Canis lupus familiaris: one gene and its partners. The protein of the gene in region 3 interacts with the protein of the main gene of each other region in a pairwise test. Links are inferred from orthologs where the notes say so. Each region holds a gene or a part of one and is shown on either strand. Other genes may lie near its edges.

Evidence for each region.
Region 1: the proteins of MGAT5B (region 3) and KRTAP26-1 interact in a two-hybrid assay, tested with the Homo sapiens proteins (3 studies listed by BioGRID and IntAct). The two-hybrid records come from large-scale screens. The link is inferred for Canis lupus familiaris from reciprocal best matches to the Homo sapiens genes MGAT5B and KRTAP26-1.
Region 2: the proteins of MGAT5B (region 3) and HOXA1 interact in a two-hybrid assay, tested with the Homo sapiens proteins (2 studies listed by BioGRID). The two-hybrid records come from large-scale screens. The link is inferred for Canis lupus familiaris from reciprocal best matches to the Homo sapiens genes MGAT5B and HOXA1.

Annotation. Positions count from the first base shown.
Region 1 is NC_049252.1:25,723,003-25,725,616, reverse strand, and holds KRTAP26-1 (keratin-associated protein 26-1), read left to right. Parts: upstream 1-1,274; 5' UTR 1,275-1,300; coding exon 1,301-1,870; 3' UTR 1,871-2,084; downstream 2,085-2,614. UniProt on the Homo sapiens protein: In the hair cortex, hair keratin intermediate filaments are embedded in an interfilamentous matrix, consisting of hair keratin-associated proteins (KRTAP), which are essential for the formation of a rigid and resistant hair shaft through their extensive disulfide bond cross-linking with abundant cysteine residues of hair keratins.
Region 2 is NC_049235.1:40,362,992-40,366,268, reverse strand, and holds the end of HOXA1 (homeobox protein Hox-A1), read left to right. Parts: exon of another isoform or gene 1-3; 5' UTR 4-59; coding exon 60-705; intron 706-1,185; coding exon 1,186-1,541; 3' UTR 1,542-2,708; downstream 2,709-3,277. UniProt on the Homo sapiens protein: Sequence-specific transcription factor. Regulates multiple developmental processes including brainstem, inner and outer ear, abducens nerve and cardiovascular development and morphogenesis as well as cognition and behavior.
Region 3 is NC_049230.1:4,786,482-4,789,224, forward strand, and holds part of MGAT5B (alpha-1,6-mannosylglycoprotein 6-beta-N-acetylglucosaminyltransferase B), read right to left. Parts: intron 1,541-2,743; coding exon 1,466-1,540; intron 290-1,465; coding exon 33-289; intron 1-32. UniProt on the Homo sapiens protein: Glycosyltransferase that acts on alpha-linked mannose of N-glycans and O-mannosyl glycans.

The DNA of each region.
Region 1 (2,614 bases), on a different chromosome or scaffold from region 3:
AATTTTTAGCTAAAGGGAATTGGAAAGTAGATCAAGCAAGGCAATTAAAATTCCTGTTAAAGTAGTCACTAGAGCCACTAGATATGTTGATATATAAAAATACAGTGGAATGGATGAAGCTAAATACAATGAAGCATTTTTAAACCAATTTTTACAGGAAAATATATTCCCAAATAGCCTTGAAAGCACTAATGCTATATATATGATGATTTCATATATATATATGATGTTATTTCCCATGTAAAGCAGTTTAGAAGCTATTTTTTTTTGGAAATTGACATCAGAACCAATGTAAGAAGCAAAACCAAACCCATTTCCAGGTCCTAATCATCATTTCTTTCTTCTTTTTTTATTCTATCAAGAACATTAGTTTTTGTTAGGAACATGAGTAAGCATGAAATATATAAACCTATACTAACTATTAAAAAAAAATGTCATGCTGTTCAACTTTCTTTGAGGGGTGTTGTTTACTTGCTGTTGTTCACAGTAGTATTTATATTTTCAACTGAAATCATCTTATTTTTCTATAGTAAGAATACTTTAAACATAAACCAAGCTTTTCAGCATGACTCTGTTTATTGAAATGCATAAAATGAGTATCGCTTTTTAAAATAAAAATATTTTGGTAGGAAGCCATTTCCACCAGGATTCTAAAAATAAAGCAAAGCATAAATTTAGGCACATTGACATTTTCTGTGTTATACCGCTTTTAAACTTTTTCTGCCCCAAATCATTTAGGTTATAGATCTTCCACATCTTTAGGTTATAGATTTTCCACATCCTTTTACAAAATACTTGTATTCAAGTTTCTTACTATTGGCGATTTCCAAAAAGAATAGAATTTCCCCTCAAAGAGAAAGAATTTGCCACTGTTTCAAAGAATTTTGCTACGCCTTTTTTTTTTTTTTTCTCCCGGAGAGTTTTGCTACAACTTTTAAAGGGAATTCCAAGACAGGAATTCTAAGAACGTTTACATAGTGGTGGTTATACTTGGATTACATGAATGACCTTCAGACATACCTGTTTTGATTGGATATTTTAAGGAGAGATCCTATTAAAATTCAGTCACACTTCTTTATAGATATACTTAATCCATAGAAGGAACATCCAGGTTTATGGGAGGTGGGAGCTCCCCTTTCAGGGCTATAATAGAGAGTGCTGATGCAGCTTCCTACAACAAGGAGGAAGAGAGTCTGCGTTCCCAATCACCACCTTCCAGGGATATATAAGGGATCAAGTTAAATGAGGGGGGACACTCACTTCTTTCCATTCAACGAGAGCCTGCTTTTGAAACCTCACTATGTCTTGCCACAACTGCTCTGCCAACTACAGCTTGGGATCTCTCAGAAATCCCTGCCATATTCCTCTCACCTCCTCCGTGGCCCTCTGCTCTACCCATGTGAGCTGTGGTGATGTCGTCTGCTTGCCTACTAACTGTCAAGACCATCCCCAGCCTCTGGACAACTGCCAGGAGACCTGCAGTGAATCAACCAGCTGTCAGCCAGGCCACTGTGAGCCCAACAACTGTGAAACATCTTGCTACCCTTCTACTACTTACTACGTGTCCAGACCCTGCCAAGGAACCACTTTTCTTCCTGCTGTTTCCTACGTCTCTGGCTCCTGCCTCCCCGTATCCTTTAGACCTCTGACCTGTGTGTCCAACAGTGGCCGACCCCTGAGCCTCTTCACTTATGGATGCCGCCCCTTGGGTTCTTTGCCCTGTGGTCCTCAAACACTGAGCATTGTACCCAGCAGCCTCAGACCTCTGCGTCCTGTCTTCAGTGGATCCCAACCTCTGAACCATGTGTACAGCACTTGCCGTCCATCTTGCTCTGCTCTGGGAGGGCAGTGGCTTCCTTGTTCCAGTTAATAATCATGCTAAGGATCTGGGACAAAAAATTCAAACTGTGGACTTTTGCTTCTTTCCTAGTAGTGCCCTTTCTTGCTTTTTACTCTGCCTGACGTAATTTGTGCTCCTCCTTTCATATTTTTATCTTTTCTTTTTATCGCTCTTTGGCATAAAATTATTTGATTTACAATGCTGTTCATTGTCACTCAGGTGTGGGAAGAATTTATTTGGTTCATGTTGCAATAAATGAGATTAAGTCAGAATTAAGAATCTGGTTCTTCAGTTTGTCTTTCATTATTTCATTTGAACACAGAAATGACCAACCTCAACTGTGCGCATGAATAAGACATGGGATATGCAACCATATGTTCTTGTCTGACAGTAGGGGAATGGCTTAGTGGTTTATTCCTCAAACTTCTTTCTAGATCTCTGATCCTACATACTTAAGACACCCCAAAAGCCCTTGGTGGAAGTAACTTTAAGAAGGCAAGATTAGGAACATTTTCCTTTTCTCTCCCATCCAATAAACATACTTCCACCAAAATGTCCTTTCTCATTGCAAACTGAATTCTGTTCCCCTGCTACGAAAGCCTTTGATGGGTTCCTATGCTCTTATTCCTATAAAATTGCAAACCCCTGACCATGACATTGTTTTCCCTCATTGTGTTCCTCCATGCCATCTCTCTGGCTTCATCCCTTTCTCAATGTTGCCAAACTAAACTTCTGCAATTCTGACTTATGCGTAGGTCCTCAAACATGCAACAT
Region 2 (3,277 bases), on a different chromosome or scaffold from region 3:
AAGTGAGAAAGTTGGCACGGTCACCCAGGGCTTCGCAGGACCCGGTCCCTCAGTGACAGATGGACAATGCAAGAATGAGCTCCTTCCTGGAATACCCCATCCTCAGCGGTGGCGACTCAGGGACCTGCTCAGCGCGAGCCTACCCTTCCGACCATGGAATTACAACTTTCCAGTCGTGCGCGGTCAGTGCTAACAGCTGTGGCGGCGACGACCGCTTCCTAGTGGGCAGGGGGGTGCAGATCAGCCCGCCCCACCACCACCACCACCATCACCACCCCCAAGCGGCCACCTACCAGACTCCCGGGAACCTGGGGGTGTCCTACTCCCATTCGAGTTGTGGTCCAAGCTATGGCGCGCAGAACTTCGGCGCGCCTTACAGCCCTTACGCATTAAATCAGGAAGCAGAAGTAAGTGGTGGGTACCCCTCGTGCGCTCCCGCAGCTTACTCTGGAAATCTCTCATCTCCCATGGTCCAGCATCACCACCACCACCAGGGTTATGCCGGGGGCGCGGTGGGCTCGCCTCAGTACATTCACCACTCATATGGACAAGAGCACCAGAGCCTGGCCCTGGCCACGTATAATAACTCCTTGTCCCCTCTCCACGCCAGCCACCAAGAAGCCTGTCGCTCCCCTACATCAGAGACCTCTTCTCCAGCACAGACCTTTGACTGGATGAAAGTCAAAAGAAACCCTCCCAAAACAGGTCAGTCTTGCCATTCTTTGGATGTTCCTTGATGGTTCTGGAAGGAGCTAGTTTGCTTAGTTGCCAAGGAAAATTAATACTCAAGAAAAGTTCTTGCTTCTTCCCACCGGTGTTGTAGGGTGTGGAGAGAGTGCCCAGGTGTATCGGGGCAAAGGAGCATCTGGGAGTGTTGTGTTTCCCAAGAGGCTGAGTTTTAGAGGTTCTGGAGTAGGAAGTGGGTAGGGGTGTGTGTTTGTGTGGTGGTTGGGGGGTGGTTCTGTTAATATCTCCAGGCTCCATTAATCACCAGTCTGACCATGCAAATGGTTGACTTCAGATTAACACTTTACACCTCATCAGTCTCCTTTCCCAGCCCAGTTTCTGTTGAGAAATTCTTGATCTCCCCTTTACCTGAATGTTGCTCTGAAGCATATAGGGGATCTCATATGGACGGTAAAAATTTTTATCTTTCTCTCTCATCGCTCCCCACCATGTCCCCAGGGAAAGTTGGAGAGTACGGCTACGTGGGTCAACCGAATGCAGTGCGTACCAACTTCACCACCAAGCAGCTCACCGAGCTGGAAAAGGAGTTCCACTTCAATAAGTATCTGACCCGCGCCCGCAGGGTGGAGATCGCAGCATCCCTGCAGCTCAACGAGACCCAGGTGAAGATCTGGTTCCAGAACCGCCGGATGAAGCAGAAGAAACGAGAGAAAGAGGGCCTTTTGCCCATCTCCCCTGCCACCCCGCCAGGAAGTGAGGAGAAGGCGGAGGAATCTTCAGAGAAATCCAGCTCCTCGCCCTGCATTCCGTCTCCGGGGTCTTCTACCTCAGACACTCTGACTACCTCCCACTGAGGCCCACCCAGCCCCAGACTCCGCAACCCAGGCTACTCTGAGGGCTGGGGACTTCTTACCCAAAGCACATTCTTAGCTTATCTTCCCTTCCATTTACAGTCTCTCTCTTCCTTTCTGATCCTATCTGGGGAGCTCCTGGCCAGAACAGTGTGTTTCCAGAGAATTCTAGATTAGAGGCTTGATTGAGGTGTGTGTGTGTGCTAACTCCTTGATGCAGATTAGGTGCCATAATCAATTTTTTGACGGCTCCCAACACCCCTCCCTACTTTTGGAAGATTTCCACAGAATCTGTTCCTTTTAGATGTCCTTTGGAATATAGTCTCCTTTGCCAGCAGAAACATGTCAGAGGGAGGCCTATCTTTTACCTATCTGTATATTAACAGTTCTCCCCTACTTTGCCCTTAAAGTAGGATAGAGAGAAAGGAGAGTCCAGGAGCTCATAAAGAAGAGATGCACTATGAGCGTGTTTACACAATTAATTCATCCCTTAATTTAATTCAATTTCATGTGTGTGTTTGCTGGTTGTAAATACTTTGTCCTGAGAGATTTATCTTTATACAGATTTTCTAGAAATGTTTAGATTAAGTGATTAAAACAGGGTGGGTAACTCAAAGCTGGTACAATTTTATATGTGATTATAGGTTAAAGAATAAAATTGCTTACTTAAACTCAGTCAGATGCCTCAGAGGGTAGCCTGCATTTGTTCTTTTGGTGAGTTAGGAAGACCTAAAAAACACAAGGTTCGAAAACCTTGCTTCCTGTGCTAAGTCTCTCCCCATCCCCACCCCATTTATTGTTTCTCTGGCCACACTCTATTTAAAATTTGTGCTGGGTTATTCAGAACCTAAAGGTATTATTCAAGCCAGCTTCTTCCTTCCACAGTTATCTTTGCTGGATATGATGTATTTTCAGCTCACTTGTTAATGTGATGGATGGCACAATGAATGTATATTTTGTGTGATTCGTGAATAGTCTTTTGCATGTCGCACAATGTTTTCATGTCCCTGAAGTACCACACTGAGTTATATCAGTTATTCTTTGTGAGTCTATGATATTCCCCCTTTCCTGTACAATCATGAACAGCTCTGTGATCCTGGAGTAATGTGATCCAGAGCAGAGTTTACGGGTCTTAAGATGTCTGTAATAAATATATTCAAGTTTCACATATGCTTAAGCATCCCTGTATTTGGCTTGGCTGCAATTTGTTGGTTCCAACAAGATTGGCTCATTTCACATGGTTGCTGGGGAAGGGTGGTGTGCACTTTCAGAGGTGGGCCTTTCCTTGAAAAAAAAGTAAATGGCTTTCCATTATGTAGCTGAAACTTCCCCTGTGAGTGTCATGGCACCTAGCGAATGCCTATTTAATAGGTTGACTTTGTTTAAAATAACAATAGTTCCTTTATTATAATCCAAGTTCATAATGGAAAAAAATGGATGGTGAAGAAATTTATAAGGCAGATCTATTTTTGAAAGAAACATGGATACTTCCTGGGTCAAGTGCTAACCTTTTCACCTCCAACTGAATGTTGACGTATGTATAAACAGAACGCCCTTCAAAAGCCCAAACTCTTCAGTCCGTCTTTCCTCACATCAGTGAACCAAGAGCTAAGGGATTCACATTTAATGAGCTCCAGTATAAAGCTGTTTGAGGGCAAGGCCTCCACTTTAACCCTCTTCTTTTTCTGCTTGTCAGGCAGTGTTCCAGTATATTCCATCCTCTAAATCGAGTATGGTCT
Region 3 (2,743 bases):
GAGGTGGGCGGGCGGGCGGGGGGCTCACTTACTTCTGGAAGGCGTCCTGGCTGTTGAGGAAGGGGAAGAAGGACGGCTCGCAAATCAGCCCATGGTCCAGGCAGGCGTCGGTGCAGGCCCTCCCGGCGGTGGCCAGCCAGGCCCGGAGGGAGTGTGCTGGGGGCCAGGCCCCGGGGGCCACGCTGGCATTCTGGGCCCACTCCAGGTGGGTGGCATTGGGGGCCAGGACGAAGGGGCTCTGTGGGGCTCGGGCCCCTCCTGGGGCAGGGCCGGGGGCTGCACAGAAGTCCTGGCCGGCGGGGAGTGGGGGGTGGGGGGGAAGCAGCATTAGACGGGGAAATGGGACCCAGATGCCACCGGCTGACACTTGGGCGCATGGCCTTGCCACCACAGCAGCCACACCACCTGGGGAGCTCCCTGAACGCCAGGCAGACTTCCACACGTTATGTCATTTATGCCTGGAGGCAGCCCCAGCAGAAGTGTCCTAACACGTCCCCCGCTATTTTATGGGGCTCAGAGAGGTCACGGGCCCTGTGCTGGCCTCACAGCTGGATGGCAGGGGCCAGCCTGGATGCCGACCCCCCTGCACCGCCTCACTGCTGGTCACACTTCAGCTGGGCTCAGAGTTTCCGCCCTGAGGCTCATGTGCCCTACCTGCGGTGGGGCTGGGGGGGTAGGGGGGCTGGGGCTGACCAGAGGGGCGCTCCTCGCCGGGGTCAGCTCCAGGGGCCTGCAGGGCCCGACAAATGTTTCCGTGAGCCTCATGGTGACATCCCTGTGGGAGGCAGGGGGCTGAGAGTCCCGGGCTCTCAGTATTCCTGTCCGTAAAGCTAATGATCTAGAACCTCTCTCCAGCCCAGACACAGGCCACATGTGCTCCGTCTGAGTATCAAGTAGTTATAAAGCACCTTACACCCAGTCCCGTGGCCCAGCCGGGCCCTGCCACTCCCGGCCACCCACCCCAGAAACCCGGAGCCTGGAAGGCCACCGCCAGCCCTCGGGAGGCTCAGATCCCCTGCTTCTCCAGCAGCCCCGTCCCCTGGGTTCTCAGCAGAGTCCTCTTCCCTGGGGGTGGGATGGGGGTGGACGCCTTCTGTACCTGCCACTCAATCAGGTATCAAACTTTCAAGCAAGTTCTTTATCAAAATAAAAATAACGGTCCGTGCTTCTGTGTGGTGGTAGGGGGCTGGGCTCTAGAGCTGGTGACCCCAGGGGCCCCCAGGCCTGGACTCGGAGCAGGAGAAGAGCAGGATACCCCTGCATCTCCCAACTCCCCCCCGCCCCCAGCATCTGCAGGAAAAGGAAACTGAGAGGAGCAGGAGCAGGAGTTTACGGGGCACAGAGCCCTGCATGGAGAGAGCTTCCCCAGACAATGGAGCTGGCTAGACCCCCTCCTCTGGTCTGATGGGGTTTGGGGTAGTCCCCACCCCCCATCCCTGGGGCAGAGAGCGGAGGGCCCACCTACTTGGTGCTGGATGTAGGCGTGGATTCGCTCCAGCATCCCCTCACAGGTGTACTCGTAGGGCAGGTAGGGGTCTACCTGTGGGAGAGACGGGCAGACACATGGGGCAGGAGGAGCCCCGGGCCCCACTAGGCCTGGCTGCTGGGGGCCGGCCAGGCTCAGCATTGGGGGGCAGAAATCTGCTGTGCCCAGGGAGCCCACCACCCCATCTACCTGGCCCTCCACTCAGATCTCCGGTGACCCCTCCCGTGGTACTGGAGGTGGCCCCACTCCCTCCGCCCCTTCCCAGCTGCACAGCTCCCATCCCCATCCCCTCCTGGGCTCTGACGCCTGCTCTTCCCATAGCCAAGCCAGATGGATCCACCCTCCCCTCTTGGGTGACACCTCCTCCAGGAAGCGGTCCCTGAGCCCCAGCCCCACCCGTGACAGGACCACTTTCCTTGGTGGCACCTGAGAATTCCTCCATCATCATTTCTGATTTCTCCCTCGTGTCTCTCAGGTTACAGGTCCCTTGAGAACTGGACTAGGACTTGTCCACCATCGAGTCCACCGCCTGGCATAGTGCCTGTATACAGTAGGTGCTCAGGAAACAGCACCTCCAGCTCTGTCCGCACTCTGCCCAGAACATAGAATGTTCACGAAAAGGAACACAGGGGCAGCTCCCGGTCAGATGGAATGAGACGGATCTGTAAGGCTTCCTGCCCAGGCCAGGCACCTGGGAACTATGGAGGGCACCTGCACCCAGGGGAGGCCACAGGCCATCTGTCTAAATAGCCAACGGTTACAAAGCACCCGCACGGGGGTGTGGCTGGGAGCAGACGGGGTGAGGAGCAAGGGGAATGGGGAGAAGCCTGAAAGGGGGTGCCCACCTCCTGTGGGGGGGTACCGCACCTCCTCTCCACTCTTCTAACCTGACCAAACCCGCTCCTTTTACCCCGCCTAGCACACAGCCCCTCAGAGGAAACTGAGGGCTGGGGGGGGCAGTGTGGATGACCCGTCCCAGACACACACGGGCCTTCGACCTCCCTTGTCCCGTGTGTGTGCAAGTGTGTGTACATGTGTGTATATGACATATTGTATGTATGCGTGTCTGTTGTGTGCATGTGCGTGCTGTACATATATATGTGTGTACAAGTGTGTGCACCGCATGCACATGAGCATATATGATGTATGTATGCATGCATTTTGTGTATATGTGTGTGTTGTGTATATGTATGTGCTGTGTGCTATGCATGTGCAAGTGTGCACATGTGTACACGTGCATATGATGTATGTATGCGT